4 linked regions of the Callithrix jacchus genome follow. The protein of the gene in region 4 binds, or shares a complex with, the protein of the main gene of each other region. Links are inferred from orthologs where the notes say so. Each region holds a gene or a part of one and is shown on either strand. Other genes may lie near its edges. The genes, in order: MAPK14, MAP2K3, PKN1 and MAP3K20.

The links.
Region 1: MAP3K20 (region 4) and MAPK14 share a complex: the UniProt entries of both Homo sapiens proteins name them as parts of the signaling complex. The link is inferred for Callithrix jacchus from reciprocal best matches to the Homo sapiens genes MAP3K20 and MAPK14.
Region 2: MAP3K20 (region 4) and MAP2K3 share a complex: the UniProt entries of both Homo sapiens proteins name them as parts of the signaling complex. The link is inferred for Callithrix jacchus from reciprocal best matches to the Homo sapiens genes MAP3K20 and MAP2K3.
Region 3: MAP3K20 (region 4) and PKN1 share a complex: the UniProt entries of both Homo sapiens proteins name them as parts of the signaling complex. The link is inferred for Callithrix jacchus from reciprocal best matches to the Homo sapiens genes MAP3K20 and PKN1.

What each region holds. Positions count from the first base shown.
Region 1 is NC_133505.1:44,336,282-44,340,865, forward strand, and holds the start of MAPK14 (mitogen-activated protein kinase 14), read left to right. Parts: upstream 1-1,443; 5' UTR 1,444-1,815; coding exon 1,816-1,931; intron 1,932-2,105; exon of another isoform or gene 2,106-2,117; coding exon of another isoform or gene 2,118-2,158; intron 2,159-4,584. UniProt on the Homo sapiens protein: Serine/threonine kinase which acts as an essential component of the MAP kinase signal transduction pathway.
Region 2 is NC_133506.1:64,675,884-64,679,742, forward strand, and holds the end of MAP2K3 (dual specificity mitogen-activated protein kinase kinase 3), read right to left. Parts: intron 3,337-3,859; coding exon 3,197-3,336; intron 2,305-3,196; coding exon 2,259-2,304; intron 1,655-2,258; coding exon 1,571-1,654; coding exon of another isoform or gene 1,536-1,570; 3' UTR 598-1,535; downstream 1-597. UniProt on the Homo sapiens protein: Dual specificity kinase. Is activated by cytokines and environmental stress in vivo. Catalyzes the concomitant phosphorylation of a threonine and a tyrosine residue in the MAP kinase p38.
Region 3 is NC_133523.1:13,248,232-13,252,321, reverse strand, and holds part of PKN1 (serine/threonine-protein kinase N1), read right to left. Parts: intron 1,089-4,090; coding exon 1,013-1,088; intron 927-1,012; coding exon 797-926; intron 707-796; coding exon 613-706; intron 1-612. UniProt on the Homo sapiens protein: PKC-related serine/threonine-protein kinase involved in various processes such as regulation of the intermediate filaments of the actin cytoskeleton, cell migration, tumor cell invasion and transcription regulation.
Region 4 is NC_133507.1:56,416,719-56,421,325, forward strand, and holds the start of MAP3K20 (mitogen-activated protein kinase kinase kinase 20), read right to left. Parts: upstream 2,916-4,607; 5' UTR 2,875-2,915; intron 2,855-2,874; exon of another isoform or gene 2,688-2,854; intron 1-2,687. UniProt on the Homo sapiens protein: Stress-activated component of a protein kinase signal transduction cascade that promotes programmed cell death in response to various stress, such as ribosomal stress, osmotic shock and ionizing radiation.

The sequences.
Region 1 (4,584 bases), on a different chromosome or scaffold from region 4:
CTTAGAAAGCTTCCTAGCCTCCCTAGTTTGGAACATTCTCAAGCATTATGTTTTTATAGATAAGAGAATTCCAGCTAAGCTACATTGGATCCAAGACAGCTTTCCATGAATCACCCATGACTCTGTTTTCTGGTTTTATGTTGCTTTCCTTGAGGAGGACTGAGGATCCTGTACCACCTCCTAAATTGAAATCATGGTGATTGTTCATAATTTTTCAATAAATACGTATGGGACATGCTTTATGTTCTAGACACTGTGCTAGATGTTGGGACAAGATAGGCAAAGTCTGAGCCCTCCAAGGTATGACACGGGAAATGATGAGAAATGTCCTGGCTTGCACCCAGTTATTTCTAATACAAGAAACTAAGAGAATCAGACAGGATCTGATTCTTCTGCTCATTGTAACAAGCTTTAGCATAGGTGTAGGTTGATAATGGATGTAGGCATGAGGTTATAATGCCTTGCCCATTTACATTTATCTTGTTCAGTTTTTACACATGACTCTGTTCATCGGGAATGCAGGGCAGAAATTCCTAAGGGTTTTCCTGAACTAAGGGTTCAGGAAAGGTCAATTGACTTGCCTAAATTTGATGAGACTCATGCCCTATTCTTCTTACTCCAAGAGGCCTAAGTTAAAGGCTTAAAATCCTCTTCACTGATGGCTCTTCAGGATAGGAGTCAGTTTCAAGTCTTCAGTGTAATGGTTTTTTTAAATGCTTCTCAAAGGGAAATATCAGAGACTTTCCTGAATCAGAACCACCTAAGATGTACTATAAAAATACATGCTCTTGATGCCGTCCTCTGACCTACCCAATTAGATTCCCTGTGAGTCCTGGGAACTTGCATCTTAAACTCCTAGAGTGATTTTTCTGCGTGTAAGTTTAAGAACTACTAGGAGAGTTTGAATGGAGAGCCTAGCTTTGATGCAGGTTGACATTTGTTTTGGGGGGCAGATTTCATCAAGCATCTTGAAGAGTAACCACATGTCCTTGAACAGATGGGAATGCAGCAGCCTTCTGGCCGGAACTTGTCTCTTTTTTATGCAAGTGTTTTTTGGAATTTGGGGGTTCTGTTGAGCAGGTGCTCAGCTGCTGGGAACTACTCTCTGTTAAAGATCTTTTGGCTCTTCCCCAACATGCTATTTGTCCCTCTCGTTTCCCACCACAGAGCCAGGTATTTGCCCCGCCGGCCACGGTGAGGCGCGCGCGGCGTGTGCTGCCCGCTTATCTCTTTCTTCCCTAGTGCTCCTTCGCGCCCTTAAGGAGACAGTCCCTGGGGAATTTCTGCCTCTGGTCTACAGTTGTTGCTCTCTTCTCGCGAGAATTGCTTCTCCCATATTCTCCTCTCACGAAGCCCCGCCCGCGGAGAGGTTCCATATTGGGTAAAATCTCGGTTCGCGGAGAGTTCCAGGAGCTGTTCTCGCGAGAGTACGGGGAGGCTCCCGTTTGCTGGCTCTGGAACCGGGACCACTGGATCCTCAGCGGGCGCAGCTGGAGCAGAAGTCCTGCGACGCAGCCCAGAGTCGGCCTAGTAGGGGCGAAGGTGCAGGGATATCGCGGCGGGCGCAGCCTTGAGCGCCAGAGCGCGTCCCTTCTCTTAACCGGGCTTGCCCCAGTCGCAGAGGCGCATCCAGCCGCTGCGGCTGACAGCAGCCGCGCGCGCGGGAGTCTGCGGGGTCGCGGCAGCCGCACCTGCGCGGGCGACCAGCGCGAGGTCCCCGCCCGGTTGGGCGGGCAGCAAGGGCCGGGGAGAGGGTGCGGGTGCAGGCGGGGGCCCCACAGGGCCACCTTCTTGCCTGGCGGCTGCCGCTGGAAAATGTCTCAGGAGAGGCCCACGTTCTACCGGCAGGAGCTGAACAAGACAATCTGGGAGGTGCCCGAGCGTTACCAGAACCTGTCTCCAGTGGGCTCCGGCGCCTATGGCTCTGTGTGGTGAGTGTCGCCGGGCCTCGCTGGGGCTGCTGTGGTCAGGGTGGCCCCTCGCGCCCGAGGGCCAGGCCTGCCCCACGGCTCAGCGTTGCGTCAAGTGGCAGGAATTTTCCTCGGGGGAGGGCATTGCTGCCCTTCGAGCCCTGCCTGTTCTGCACCTCCTGCACCCCTCGCCCTGCACTCGCGGGTATGTGGTCCACCGTGTGCAGCACTCAGGTCCGCTGCGAGAGGTAGGTGGTGGTGCTGGAGCTCGGTTCTGGGTAGCACCCTGCGCCTTCCCATCTCGGAGGGTTGCTGTTCGGCGGCAGGCGCCGGGGGCAGGGCTGCTTTCTTGGGGGGTCTCCCTACCGACCTGGAGCAGAAGGACCCTCTCCCGCGATGCGCCCACGCTGGAACGCGGGAGCCTGTCCTTTGAGCAGACAAGCTCGGGGAGCTCCCGGGAGAAGCAGAAGGGCAGAGGCCAACCCGAAGACTTCAGTCATCTGAACAAAACTGAGCAGGAAGGGAGCTCTCTCCGGGCTTTTTTTTTCCTTCTTTTTTTGCAAACCTCTGTCGAAATCCCATCTTGAGAAGCGTTCTTTTTGAATTCGCACTTGAGTTAGCACCGATCCATAGAGCTTAAAATACCGACTTTATCTCAGTGAGCACTGTGCCAGCTTGAGTGGTGTGTTTCCGATTCAGTTGAAAGCGTATTTCCTTTCCGTGGAGGGGCGGCGGTGGTAATGCTTGCAAGAACACTGCAGCTTGAGAAACTGGCAGCCTCACTGATTAGTCACATACCACTGCTCATTTAAGTATTGTTCGACAAAACAATTTTCTCCTTTGGAGCAAGAAAGATTCAGATCTGTGAGGTGCCCTCAAGATCAAAAAGTTATTAACAGTGCTGGGAGGTATTGTAAATTTCTTGTTGTGATAATTCCTGCGAATACTGTGGTTTAAAAGTCCCTCAGAGAGTTTGCAGGGAATTATCTGCATTTATGGCTTGAGGTACACGATGGTTTTCGTAAAGATATGGAACCACATAGAAAAGGAAGGGAAGAAATACTTTTTAGCTTTAATTTACACTATGAGTGTGTTTTAAATTAAGTCGATATCATATGATTTCCAGACCTGAAATATTTCACTAACTGACCTCTAACTTCCAAGGTTTTATACCCTGTATTTTAGATTTTGTATCATTTGAAAGCTATGGATCTGAAACTAAATATCAGATTTAACGGTTAGCTTTTTCTGTGTTTTAGTAATTCGTGTTTATGCAAGATTTGAAAAGGGGCCTGTAAAATCGTTTTTTGTTTTGGAACAAATTCCAGGCTTTTGGATGTGTTAATCTTTAAATATGATTGCTGTGTTTCCTGAAGTCACATCATGAATTTCCTGTTTGGTAGAATCTTCTGGGTAATTGAGATTGTGCAATTGTGTCCAGCAACAGATCATGTTGCATTTTCTAGTTCAAGCTGCTTAAGTTATGTTGTAGAATGCACCGTGCTTGACATCTTTCTCTCATTTTTACAGTGTGTCAGTTTACATTTTAAAGGAATTTGCAACATTTTACATTCAGAGAGAGAGAAAGAGAGTGTGTGTGTGTGTGTAGTTGATTTACAGCATTTTACATGCAGTATATACGTATATATATCTACTTGAATTGCTAATTTTCAAAGATGTATTTGGATCATTGCTCCTTTAATATTTTATGGCTCATTAATAGCTTTCCATTTTTTTCTTTCTTGAATTGACACATTCATTTCTGTAGTGTCGTGTTTTTGTTTTCAATGCTATTTAAATTTTAATGGAGTGATACAGCAGAATAAGTCAACTGTAGAGGGTTTGGGAAACTCCAATTGAATTGCTTGCAAGAGTTCACTGCTGTTGGTGACTCGCTCTGAACTGGAACAGGAGATCCAGATTTACAGTGAAGTGTCATTAAAATTAACTCCACATTTCTTTAGTGGTATATTTTTCTGTGGTATAGAAGTCAGCAGTATCTGACACTTAAAAGTACTTTTATTGAACAGGTTTTAAAAAATAGGTAGTGCATTGACATTGGATAAAATTTGAAAGCTTTAAAAAGGTATTCAGTGAAAAGTCTCCTTTCCTTTTTGTTCTCCAGTTACTCTACTGTCTCTTTTTTTTTTTTTTTTTTTTTTTGAGACAATCTCGCTCTGCCACCAGGCTGGAGTGCAGTGGCACAATTACGGTTCACTGCGACCTCCATCTCCCGGGTTCAAGCAGTTCTCCTGCCTCAGCCTCCTGAGTAGCTGGGACTACAGGCGCATGCTATCACGCCCAGCTAAGTTTTGTATTTTTAGTAGAGACAGGGGTTTCACCATGTTGGCCAGGATGGGCTGGATCTCTTGACCTTGTGATCTGCCTGCCTCAGCCTCCCAAAGTGCTGGGATTACAGGCGAGAGCTACTGCACCCGGCTACTCTCTTAAAGACAAGCACTGTTAAATGTCTTGTGTGTCTTTCCAGGGAGGCAGAGTTTTTTTATTTGCTTGTTTCTTTAGTAGTATTTCTACTAAAGGGATTTAAGATGTAACCTACAGCATATTGGTAAAGGAAAATACAACTGAAATTATATGACAATTGACAATAAACCAATATAACTAATGTTGGAATGAAATATCACAATTTAGATTTACAAGTAAATGTTATTTT
Region 2 (3,859 bases), on a different chromosome or scaffold from region 4:
GTGAACAAACTCCCTGCTGCCCGGCCATGCTGCTAGTGTCATGGGGCCAGAGGGGACCCTGCATGGGCACCTTCATTAAGCTGTCCCCACTCCCCTCAGAGCCTTCTCCGGAGCCCACTACCTGTCCCCTAGTCTGTTCTTCTGTCTTATAAGCTGTATGGCTTTGGGCAAGTGATAATCAGCTCTCTGGTTCTGTTTTCCCATCTGTAAATGGAGGTCATGTAACCTCCATGAGGCCACTGTGTCCAGTCAAGGCACAGTGTCTGGGTGCTCACCACTCTGTGCACCTGGCTGTCATCACTGCTCCAGGACAGTGGGATGGGTGGCTGCCACCAGGGGACTGGGCCTGCATGCTCGCTGCTCTTTCCAGCGTCAGTATAGGGCCTGGTGCCTGGATGGTCACAGGATGTCACCTTGTCACAGCCCTCTGGAGGCCTCTGTGTCCTCAGATGTAGGAGGGCCTGGTGGGTCGGCAGCCCTCCCTCCCCTGAGCACGCCACCCTGGCCCTAGCCCAGAGGCAAGGGTCCCTCGAGGCACCACAACCTTCCCCGAGTACGAGGGGGGCTCGCAGGTGTCACACATAGTCTTACACAACCTTTAGTCCTTATCTTTTTTTAATTAAAACAGCAACCAGGTACCTGCCCCAACCCATCAGGAAAGGACCCAGGATGGGCAGTCCTTTTTTCAAAAAAATATATTTTCTTTTTTTAAAACACCACCAAAGCAAATCCATAGCCCCTATGGAGCCGGTCCTCAAGGAGTGAGCTGGAAGGCTCCCCCTACACTTCTCTGAGCAGAGACTTGGGCCCCTCCCACTAGACCCCAGCTGGAGCAGAGGGTGAGGCTCTGCCTGCTGGTGCCTTAGGGGATGGGGGAGAAGTGATCAGCTCCAAACCATGCAAGAAAAACAAGCCAAACCCAGAAAGCAAAAGAAAAAAACAATGGAAGATAAATTAAAAAAAATAAACAGGTGAAATGACACCAGTAAAGGTGGCAGGCAGGACTGGGTGTCCCAGTGTGCTCTGAAGAGGCCCTGTTCGCCCGTGCCAGGGGAAGGCCTTGGGCGGCTCATGGCCTCTCCCCCATGGGATTCTTGGGGGATTCACATAGCTCATCCCCACTTGTGGACCCCACACCAAAGCTGGGATAGAGGTGTGGCCACCCTGGGCCAAAGTGTGCAAAGTCCATTCAGTCAGGAGAGTAAAAAAATATACAACTTGGGTGGCATCCAGGCTGGGCAAGGCACCTGCTGTGCAAGGGGCAGCAGCATCCAAAGGGGCGTCCAGGCCCCAGCAGTCCAGGGTCTCAGCAACTGGAGACGGTCCTCAGAGCAGCAGGGAGAGAGAGGCACTTCGGGGCCGATAAGGGCCTGGCTGGAGGTCCCGGTGGTCTGCTTTTTTGGCACTTGGGACAAATGGCTGGCTGCAGAGCCAAGTGGGAGCAACCCCCTCAGTTCCTCCTGGATGCCCTGGGCCAGGATGGCAGTAGCTTATGGTGCAGGTGCGCACTGCCCCTGCAGATGGGGCTGTGGGGCTCAGGAGGGCCGGAGTGGGGTCCAAGGCCCAGGCCCTATGAGTCTTCTCCCAGGATCTCCTTCACGAAGGCAGCAATGTCCGTCTTCTTGGTTTTGTGCAAAGTGAAGAAGGGGTGCACCTGGGGGTGACAGAAGGCACACTCACCATGGTGGGGGTAGTGGGGGGGGAGGTGCCCATTCTTCCCCAACCAGCCGCAGCCCAAGTGTTCCTCCTGCCTGGCAAAATCCTACTCATCCTTCTAGGACCTCCACCCCCAGGAGGTCCTCCATGACTGTCACAGAGGGCGTTTGTGGCTCCTCCTCAGCTCTCCTGTGATCACTCTCCAGCCACACTAACCTCTCTTTCCCCCACACATCTGGCCTCTGCCCATGCTGGACCTTTTGCTTGGGACAGCCTCTCCGTCAACAGATAACCCTTATTCATCCTTCCAGGCTCAGTTCAAATGGTACCTCCTCCATGAAGCCTTCCCTGATGCCACCCCTTGGCCCCTCTGCCCCATTCTGTCACACACTGCCTGTGCACCCTTCCCAGAGCCTGGTATGAAGGAAGGAGGGAGAAGGAAGCCGGGTTTGCAGAAGCAAACAAATGAATGAGCACCTAAAGGAGTCAACATGGGGCCAGAGGAGCTGCCCATCTGTGTGCAGGACGCAGCCCTCTCCTGAGCCCACCTAGCCACCAGCCAGCCCTGAAGAGCAGGGCAGGCACCTCCTGCCCACACTCACCATCAGCTCCAGGTAGCTCATTCGCTCTGCGGGGTTCTTCCTCAGGCTAGGAGAGAACGGTGCAGCTATAGCCAGGCTGGCAGGGAGGAAGGAAGCCCAGCCTCCTAATTGCCACCCCAGGATTGCCCCAGGCCTGGGGGACACATGCGCCCAGGGAAGAAGGGACAAGACCATCCAGGGTTTCTCCCAAGGTGGAGGGGCATTCACAGGGGCAAACTAGAGGCTTGCAGCAAGTTTCTCTGGCCTTGGGGTCCTCGTTTTCTTGTCTCCTTAATGACCCAGGAATTTCCATATCAAAACAGGACTCTCCAGTGCTCTGCCTCACAATCATATGCTTGGTATCCTCAGTCAGGAGAGAAAACTCCTTAGCATGGGTCCTGGGAGAGGTTAGTCCCCACTTAAAGGGGCCAGACTGCCCAGGGACTCTGCTGGGCTCCTCTGTTGCTGATGACGGTCGACAACAAGTCCCAGGACCCTGGGTGTGAGCCACGGTACCAGCCGCTTCTTCCTTATCAAGTTCTTGCTCCATTTAATTACGGTCAGAGAAGTTGGTCTGTATGACTTTGCCCTTTTCCTTATTCCCTCTGTAATCTCAAACATGATTTTTATAAGGCTCCCATGGGGCATTCTTTAATTTGGTTCAGAGTTCTACATATCAATAAAAGCAAACTTGTTTTCTGTGTTCAAATCTTCCATATACTTTTTTCTTTTTTTCAGCCTATCTGATCTGTCACTTCTGGAAGAACTGCATTAAAACCTCCTGCTAGGACCATAGTTTTGTCCAAAGCTCCTCACGCTCCAGCTGTTTCTGCCTTACATATTTTGATGCCTTTCATCTGGGGGGTTATTTGCTAATGGAAAAAGGCACAGGGCCCAGGAAGATGCCGGGATCGGGCCAGGGAGGGCACCAATAGGCGCTCAGCATACCCCGGACTCACCACTGCGCAGTGAAGTCCACAAACTCGGGGGAGAAACGGTCAGCTGGGAGCTGGGGGGACGGCTCCTCCACCACCTGCTTCAGCTGCTGAAACGGGGTCCCCCAGGACTCGTAAGGGAATCGTAGGATGGCCATCTCAATCTGCAGCAGGGACGGGGGGTCAGAGGCCCTGGACCCAGATACACTCACACTCTGCACCCAGGAGCCAGGGTTGGGGGCTCTCGCCCACCCTGGCACCAGCGCGAGGCCTCAAGGCTGCACAGCTGATCTCCCTGCCACATCCCAGCAGAGCAAAGGTGAAAGCCAGAGATGGCAGCTCTTAGCTCCCCTGACCCAGCCAGCAGGATACAGTTCAGAAAGCAGATCCAGCGCATGCCAGGACTGGTGAGAACATCGTTGGGTTTTCAAACAACCTGAATTCTGAAGATTTTACAAAACAATGTAGGTTGCAGCTGCTCTGGAAAAATCTGAGGAGCTGGTAACCTCAGGCTGCAGCCTCCTGAGCCAGGTAGGCAGGTCCCAGTGGTCACAGCCACTCCCCTTCCTAACATCTGGCCATCTTGGACTTCAGCATCTGCCGTCATTTATTTGGGCTGCTGTGACACACACACACACACACACACACACACGGCTCTCCCCAAGGCCGTGGACAGAGTGTGAGACC
Region 3 (4,090 bases), on a different chromosome or scaffold from region 4:
CTTTCGGGAACCTCTGTCTAGAGAACACTACTCTTTTTTTTTTTTTTTTTTTTGGGACGGAGTCTCGCTGTTACCCAGGCCGGAGTGCAGTGGTGTGATCTTGGCTCACTGAAACCTCTGCCTCCCAGGTTCAAGCAATTCTCCTGCCTCAGCCTCCCGAGTAGCTGGGACTACAGGTGCCCACCACCATGCCCAGCTAATTTTTGTATTTTTAGTAGAGATGGGGTTTCACCATATTGGCCAGGCTGGTCTCGAACTCTTGACCCCATAATCCACCCGCCTCAGCCTCCAAAAGTGCTGGGATTACAGGCGTGAGCTACCACACCCGGCCCATATCCAGCTAACTTTTTATAGAAATGGGGTTTCACTGTGTTGTTCAGGCTGGTCTCAAACTCCAGGGCTCCAGTGGTCCTCCCCTGTCTGCCTCCCAAAAGTGCTGGGATTATAGGCATGAGCCACTTTTTAACCAGGATGGAGATCTGGGCACACATTTTTAGCCAGCATAGACATGCTGCGTGACTCCAGGGAAGTTCCTAGAGGTCTCTGAGCCTGGAGCAGGACCCCTGACGCTGCCCAGGCCAGACCTAGGGGGAAAGAAGGGGGGACCCTCACCAGGCTCGATGGGCTAGAAGGAGGATCCTGCGAGCTCTTCTGCGGTGAGCTGTCTGAGTCGGTGCTGAGGTTCAGCTTCTCCACCGATATGTCACTGCAGCAGAAGAGAGAAGGGTGTGTCTGGGACGCAAGACCCTGGAAAGCTTCAAGGGGCAACTGGGTCCCTGGGGCCCTCCTTCCTTACCTGGCGCTCCGGGCCTCGGATCCCGGAGAAGCCCCGGGGCTGAAGGTGGTGTTGGGGATGAGCCTCCGGAGCAGCCGCACCCACGTGGCAACATCGATGTTCATCTGCCTAGCGTGCTGGAACGCCTTCCCTGGGGGGACAGGGGCAGGTGTCACCCCTCGTGACACTCTCAGGATCCCCAGCCTCTCCCCGAGAGGCTCTGGAGCAGCCTCTCACCTTGCTGCTTGGAGAAAATTTTCTTCTGCCGTCGGAGCCGAGGAATCCTCTCAATGACAGGGTTTCGGAAGGTGACCTGGAGGGAGGGACCAAAAGGTGAGGTCGCCCTGCCCCCCTGCAGGCAGACAGCTTGGTGAGGAAGCCCCTAGGAGCATAGGCATGCGCACCTGAGTGGGGTTCTGATTGTGGGGCATCACATTCAATCCAAGTACTAGGTGACAATGAAGAGGTCATCAACCTCTTCATTGTCTCCAACTCCTGGCCTCAAACGATCCGCCCACCTTGGCCTCCCAAAGTGCTGGGATTCCAGGCATGAGCCATGGCACCTGGCCAAAAGTTCTATGGGCTGGTGCTGCAGAAAGTTCTAGGGGATGGTGCTGCTGTGGAGGCGTACAAACAGAACAGAGCGCTACCGGCAGACCTTGAAGGCGAGGAGAAATGCTTTAGAATTTGTCCCCCAGGGCGGGGCATGGTGGCTCATGCCTGTAATCCCAGCACTTTGGGATGCTGAGGTGGGCACATCATGAGGTCAAGAGATCGAGACCATCCTGGCTAACATGGTGAAACCCCGTGTCTACTAAAAATAAAAAAATTAGCTGGGCATGGTGGCGGGCTCCTGTAGTCCTAGCTACTCGGGAGGCTGAGGCAGGAGAATTGCTTAAACTCGGAAGGCAGAGGTTGCAGTGAGCTGAGATAGTGCCACTGCACTCCAGCCTGGTGACAGAGGAAGACTCCATCTCAAAAAATTTTAAAAAAAATTTGTCGCCCAGGCCACCCGCCACCACTTCCCATTTGGTTCTGGACTGTGCTCTGAATGGAAAAACAATTTAAAGCTCTGCCATCTGAGGTCAACCCCCTCCGAGCCCCTTTCTTTCAGTGGTCTGCGATGGTCAGACCAGGGAAGAACCTCTGCTTGGGGATGTGGATATAGAGAGATGGGGAAACAGATAGACAGATACAGAGACAGGGGATGGATGGCTGGGTAGTTACAGCTAGAGAGAGAGGGATTGACAGAGATAGGGACACACAGACATAGCGAGATGGATGGATGGACATGTAGATAAACACAGATATACAGAAAAAAATAGAGAGGGGCACAGATAGATATAGAGAATAGGCCGGGCGCGGTGGCTCAAGCCTGTAATCCAAGCACTTTGGAGGCCAAGGTAGGCGGATCACCTTGAGGTCGGGAGTTCAAGACCAGCCTGACCAACATGGTGAAACCCCGTCTTTATTAAAAAAAAAAAAAAAAAGCAGCAGCAGCAGCAGGTAGATATAGAGAATAGAGACAGAGAGCAGATGGGTAGACATAAGAGAGAGGAATATACAGAGATGGATGGATAGATGGATAAGATGACTGATAGATAATATAGATGGATGGATGCAAAGACAGATTGGTTGATAGATAATACAGATACATGGATGGATGGATGGATGGATGGATAAATGACTGATAGATATTATAGATGGATGATGCAAAGACAGATTGGTTGATTGATAGATAATATAGATGAATGGATGGATGGATAAGATAAACAGATAATATAGATACCTATTATAGATGAATACACAGATAAAACAGATAATATAGGTACATCTATTAATGGACAGATGGATGCATAGACAAGATGGATGGATGAATGCATAGAAAAATAGGATGGATAGATGGATAGGAAGGTTAGTAGGTAGGTAGGTAGATTGTGTATACATACATACATAGATAACCTATGCAATATATGTATGTAAAACAGGGTACACATTTAGGTTAGGGGAATATTAAAAGTGTTTTTTAGGATAAATTGGCTAAATGAGGGGTCAAGTGATTTTCCTCCTCTGTGCCTCAGTTTCCTCCACTGTCACATTTTTTTTTAATTCCTTATTTATTTATTTTTAAGACGGAGTTTTGCTCTTGTTACCCACGCTGGAGTGCAATGGCGTGATCTCGGCTCACCGCAACCTCCGCCTCCTGGGTTCAGGTAATTCTCCTGCCTCAGCCTCCCAAGTAGCTGGGATTACAGGCACGCACCACCATGCCTAGCTAATTTTTTGTATCTTTAGTAGAGACGGGGTTTCACCATGTTGACCAGGATGGTCTCAATCTCTTGACCTCGTGATCCACCCACTTCGGCCTCCCAAAGTGCTGAGATTATAGGCGTGAGCCACTGCGCCCAGCCCACTGTCAAATTTGAGTAATAACAGTCCCTCTTTTGTTGGGTGGCTGTGACAATTAACAAGTTCATGCTGGCAAAGTGCTTGCTACAGAGCCCGGTTTATGCAATGAGAACTCTGCTAGAAATGTTATTCAGATGAGAGTTCCCAACTGAAAACCCTTGACAATGTCTGGAGGTCTCTGGGCTGCCAAAGCTCAGGGGAGGCGGAGTCACCAACATCCTGTAAGCAGTGGCCAGAGGTGCTGCTAACCGTCCTCCAGAGCACGGGACAGCCCTGTCACAGAGGATGACCAGGCCCCAGTGTGAACAGCACCAAAGACAGGACACCTCCGTTCAGACCATCACCCTCCCACAACTGTGGACGGAATTGCTCTCTCTCGACCGTGGCTCTGGTAGCAAACACCACGACACGCTGCCAGGTTTTCTATCTCTTTCCTGGCTGGATGAAATTTTATAATTTATTTACTTCTTTCTTTAAACATTTCTAAATTTGGAAATCAGCTTCTTCTTCCTCTTCTTTTTGTTTTTTGAATATGTTGCTTCGGAACAAAACCAAACCCAGCTAAGGTCATGTCACTGATGTGGCCTTTTTTTATTTTTTTCTTTTTGTGAGAGAGTCTCACTCTGTTGCCCAGGCTGGAGGGCAGTGGCAGGATCACAGCTCACTGCAACCTCCACCTAAGGGGTTCAAGGGATTCTCCTGCCTCAGCCTCCCAAGTAGCTGGGAATACAGGTGCCCAATACCATATCCAGCTAATTTTTGTAGTTTTAGTAGAGGTGGGTTTTCCCCATGTTGGCCAGGATGGTCTTAAACTCCTGGCCTCAAGTGATCCACCTGTCTCGGCCTCCTAAAGTGCTGGGATTACAGGTGTGAGGCACCATGCCCAGCCTAGAACAGGCAGATCTG
Region 4 (4,607 bases):
TTGCTTACCATCCACCCAAAGTTCAATCTGAGGCTTTAATTTCCTATTACAATTGAAGACACTGGGGTTACGGTGTCAGATGTGTGGCTGCTTTGTTCTCACATTCTTCTACTGTGCTGGGATTACTTAACAGCTGTTAGGGTGTAATCGATGCTTCAGCTTTCCATAGGAAGGTCTGATATAAAAGCACCCATGTATCAGTCAAATCAGTCTAAGCTCTAGCATTCACAGCCCTCTTTCCTTACCAGGTACGGTTTTCTGGTCACAGCTGGAACTCTGCTTATTTTTATGTAGTGGGGCAAAGTGAATAGCCACAAAAAAAAAATTGCCTAAATCTTCCTTGCAGTAAGACCAAAAGGTGTCTTAACTGTTCCTATTACATTTAGATAGACAAGATACAGCCTGTCAATTTGTCCTGGATAGAATAAAATGGAAAACAAGTGATCTAAATTCATTTTTATTTCCAACATCTCAGAATACAGACATAGGGCTATCTTATTCCAAGAAGTGCTATATCCCCACAAACACCTTTTTCCAGTCTTTTTAAAAAACAAAACAATAAACATCGATTCTCTCCTCTCTTCTAAATCTACCAATTTCTAAAATAAACTGTCCATTTTGCTCTTTCATTCCACACTAACAGCTTCACCTTACATCTGACTTCTTTTCAAGCAACATCATTGTAATTTCTCCAGTAATTTCTCTGATGATTCGATTTATTCACTTCATGCCCCTCAGACCTCCTATTTGTCATTTAGTAGCCCTAACAAAGTCAGTTTCACTACTCATTCCAGATAGGCGCTGAGCCAATATATTGCCAATAACACTCACTCTTGTGCTAAGTTAAAATACACAGTGCAACTTGCCAAGTTTCCTTATTTGGCAAGAAGGCCCCTTAGTTCCCAAGATCTTTGACCATCCATTTTTAGATCCAAGTCCGCGTGTTTAATATTTGGATATTTTTCTCTCTCTCCCTTTCTTTAGTGTGTCCTTATGTATTCCCTAAAAGAATAAGAAAAACAGATCAATCATCTATTTGCTTTTTTAGACAAGAAAAAAAGTCCTGGCAATTGCATCATGGTCATTTACTCCGCAATTATGATCACTACAATTTTTTATTTAAATAATATTTTGTAGTTAAAAAAACTCCCCAAATAATCTCAAAAAGTTTATAGTAGGAATTGTGAAAGATTAAAATAAATAATGCAGTGGTCCAAAAGACCATTTTTTATCTTAATTCTCTCTTCCCAAACTAAATTCCTATTTACAATCTCCTAAGACTCACTATGGTAGCAGGAATTTAAAACAAAGGCTCTACAAATGGCCAAAACCATAATTAAAAATGCAGCCATCACATTTTTTTTTTAAATTGAAAAACAAGTGAAATTTCACCGTGGAGACAGGCCTACTACAAAGAGGGCATTAAGTAGCCCTGAATCACTTGCTTACTTATCTTTAAACGTGTTTGGAGGTTTGGGTCCAGTAAATCCTAGCTGTTCATGTCAACGAAGTTCAGGGAAGCAAGAAGGCTCCCCTAAAACAGCTTCAGGGTTAAAGTCGGAATACAGTTTTCAACAATCTTAATTCAAAAATCCTCCAAGTCACTCTGTAAGACGATTCTCACCATTATTAATGAGAGCTGCTTACTGTACTATACTTGGAATTGTGTTGCTTTCATTATTACAGAAACTAACAAAAATAAAGTTCCCCATAAACAACGCTTATGGGCGATTTCAAAGCACATCAGAAACATTTTCGGCGATCTAACAGAGATACCCAATTCTTTTTTTTTTTTTTTTTTTTTTTTTTTGAGGCAATCGGAAGTCATCCAGCCAGTCCTGAATTAAAGTTTTCTGAAAGCTGTCATGAGCATGCGAGGCCAGGCGAGGCGGCGGCCTGGGTAAGCACTTCTGGGCCTGGTGCTGGTCTCGGAGACCACAAAACACTGGCTCCCTGAGGGTCACTGAAGAGGACACCCCTGTCTGTGGTGGGAGGAAAGGGGGAAGCCAGAGAGGGCAGGCGATCCACGCTGCCCAAGCCCGGGGCAGGAAGGCGGGGAGCGGTGGCTCTGGATACATTTACGCCTGTTTGTAAAACTGATCTTCAGTGTTCATTGTTCCTGGCCTAATTGTGTGAGGAAAACAGAATGAAGGAAAATGGATGGGACGCAACGCCGCTGCGGCCAAGTTCTTAGGAAAGCAGAAGTTGGTCGTCCCTCCTCGCACGCATGGCGTGTGCTGGGAAGTGGCCGGCACCCTGCCCTGATTTGGGGACCTCGCGCTTTGCCCCCCCCCGACAGCGTTCCAGCCACCCGGTGCTTGGTCGGCTCTGCTGCTCGCGGGGCCCCTGCCCGTGCCGAGAAAGCCCAAGCCACCCCGGCCTGCGCCCCGCGCCTTCGGGCGCCAACTTCTCCGTGGGACTGGCCCGAACTCTCCAGAACCGCACTTGGCGGCGCCGAGGCCGAGGTCCCGCGAGGACTCTCCGGGCGCCGGTAACGCTCGCTCCTGCCGCTGCCGCCGCCGCGCGGACCCTGGGTCCGGGAGGAGCGCCCCGAGCAGCCTCTCGCGGCCGTCTGGGCTCCCGGGCCCCGGCGGCGCCTCGGCCCCGAGACGCGGGGACGACTCGCGAGCGCGACAGGCCTCGCCCCCTCACTTCCCGCCCTCCGCGGCCTCCGGCCTGGCCCCTACCTGGCTCCCGGGCCTGGCGCGAGCAGTAGCCGGGGGCGCCGAGGCCTCGCGCGCTACGAGGGCGGCGGGGGTCGGGACCACAACGGCCCTCGCGGCTCCCACGCTTCCTCCGGAGTCAGGAGTTGAACATTCCGCCTCTCCGCGCGGCGCCAATGAGGAAGACAGTCACGGCAACAGCACCACCTACCTCCAGGCGCGGAACGGCCGGGCAGCCCTCCCGTCACACGCGCGGGCGAGCGGGGCGTGGGGAAGGCTTTCGGGCCTCCCTGGCCTGCGCCCGGGTGGCACCCTCCGCCCCTCGCCCCAGGACCCGCCGAGGCCCCTCAGACACACCTGCCCCGCTGTGGGGGGAGGGCCGTGGGGTGTTTCCCCTCCCCCAGCACCTGAACTCATCTTTTTGACAAGTTAACACACCTGCTACTCCTTCAACTCACTCCTCAACAAACAGGAGCTGGGGACACAAAGAAACAGAGGCTGTTTTGTGCCCTGCAAGAGTTCCTTTAGTTGGGAAAGGGACAAATGTAGAGATTTCTGGGGACATAGGTCTGAAGGCTGCTTCTCTAGAAAGATCAGTAGGTACCTCTGGCATTTTGAGGAGGGGCCGTGGTCTGCTGCTCTCAATTTTAACAGAGCAGAATTCAGATGAAGAGCCAGAGTCCATTACAGGCCTAAGCCCAAGGTGGACATGGGCGTTGGGAAGAAAAGCAATTTCTGACTGGGGAGGATGGTTCTGTGAAGGAAAAATTAGAGGCGCTTGCAAAAGCGGGGGCCACGTTATCCAGGATTTTGAATTTGAATTTTATTACCCATGGACACTGGGGAGCTGTGGAGAATTAGAATCAAAGGAGTGAAATGGGTGTTTGTGTTTTTGTTTAAATAGTCATTTTGAGAGAGTAGTCCACAGTGGTTGTAGGTTGGGTTGCTAGGATGGAAGCAGGGTGAGTGGTAGACGTTGTCACCGCCCGGTTATGGAATCATGAGGAACCAAGTTAGGGGTAGGAAATGGAATTAAAAACAAGAAATGGGCTTGGTGTGGTGCCTGTAATCCGAGCACTTCGGGAGGCCAAGGGGAGAGGATTGCTTGAGACCTGGCTGGGTAACATAGTAAGACCTCATCTCTAAAAAAAATTAGCCCAGTGTGGTGGCACACACCTATAGTCCCAGCTACAAGGGAGGCTCAGGTGGGAGAATCACTGGGGAGGTCGAGGCTGCAGTAGACCACAATCGTGCCACTGCACTCTAGCCTGGATGAGAGAGACCCTGTCTCAAAAAAAGAAATGGAATTGAGAGAAATACTAAGTATTTCTCGAAGACCCCACAGAAATTGGTAAACCACTAGATTTAGAAGAGAAGAGAGATGATGCCAAGATTTCAGACCTGGATGACTGGAAGAATGATGGTGTCATTGACAGAAATAGGAATATGTGGAAGGGAAGCTGGCTTCATGTTGAGTTTGAGGTCATAGGAGTAAAAACAGGTAGAGATGCAGCAACTGAAATATGAAACTGAAATTCAGAAAAGAGGTCAAGAGTGAAATAGAAAATTTGTAAGTCATTCAACAGGTTAAAGATATGAAAGTTGAGTGATGGGTGAATAGAGATTAAAAAACAATTTATTAGTCTGACATTCAGATTAATTTGCCCTTTGATGAGAACTGGAGATTTTAGCATTAAGTTTTATTTTCGTAACTGAGAAATTAGAATTGATGAAAATTGCCATGCAAAAAAATTTGTAATGGACGTCTAATCAAATAATTCCAAATGATTCCATCTAATCCATTCAAGGAAAAACTAAGGCTCTTTAACATAGACCCGAGGCAAAGGATGACTCTAATCAATTTACCTTACCTTCAGAGGCACTTGGTTGTGATAGAAAGCACATTTGACTGAGGGTCAGAAAACCTGACCTATGGTCTTAGAA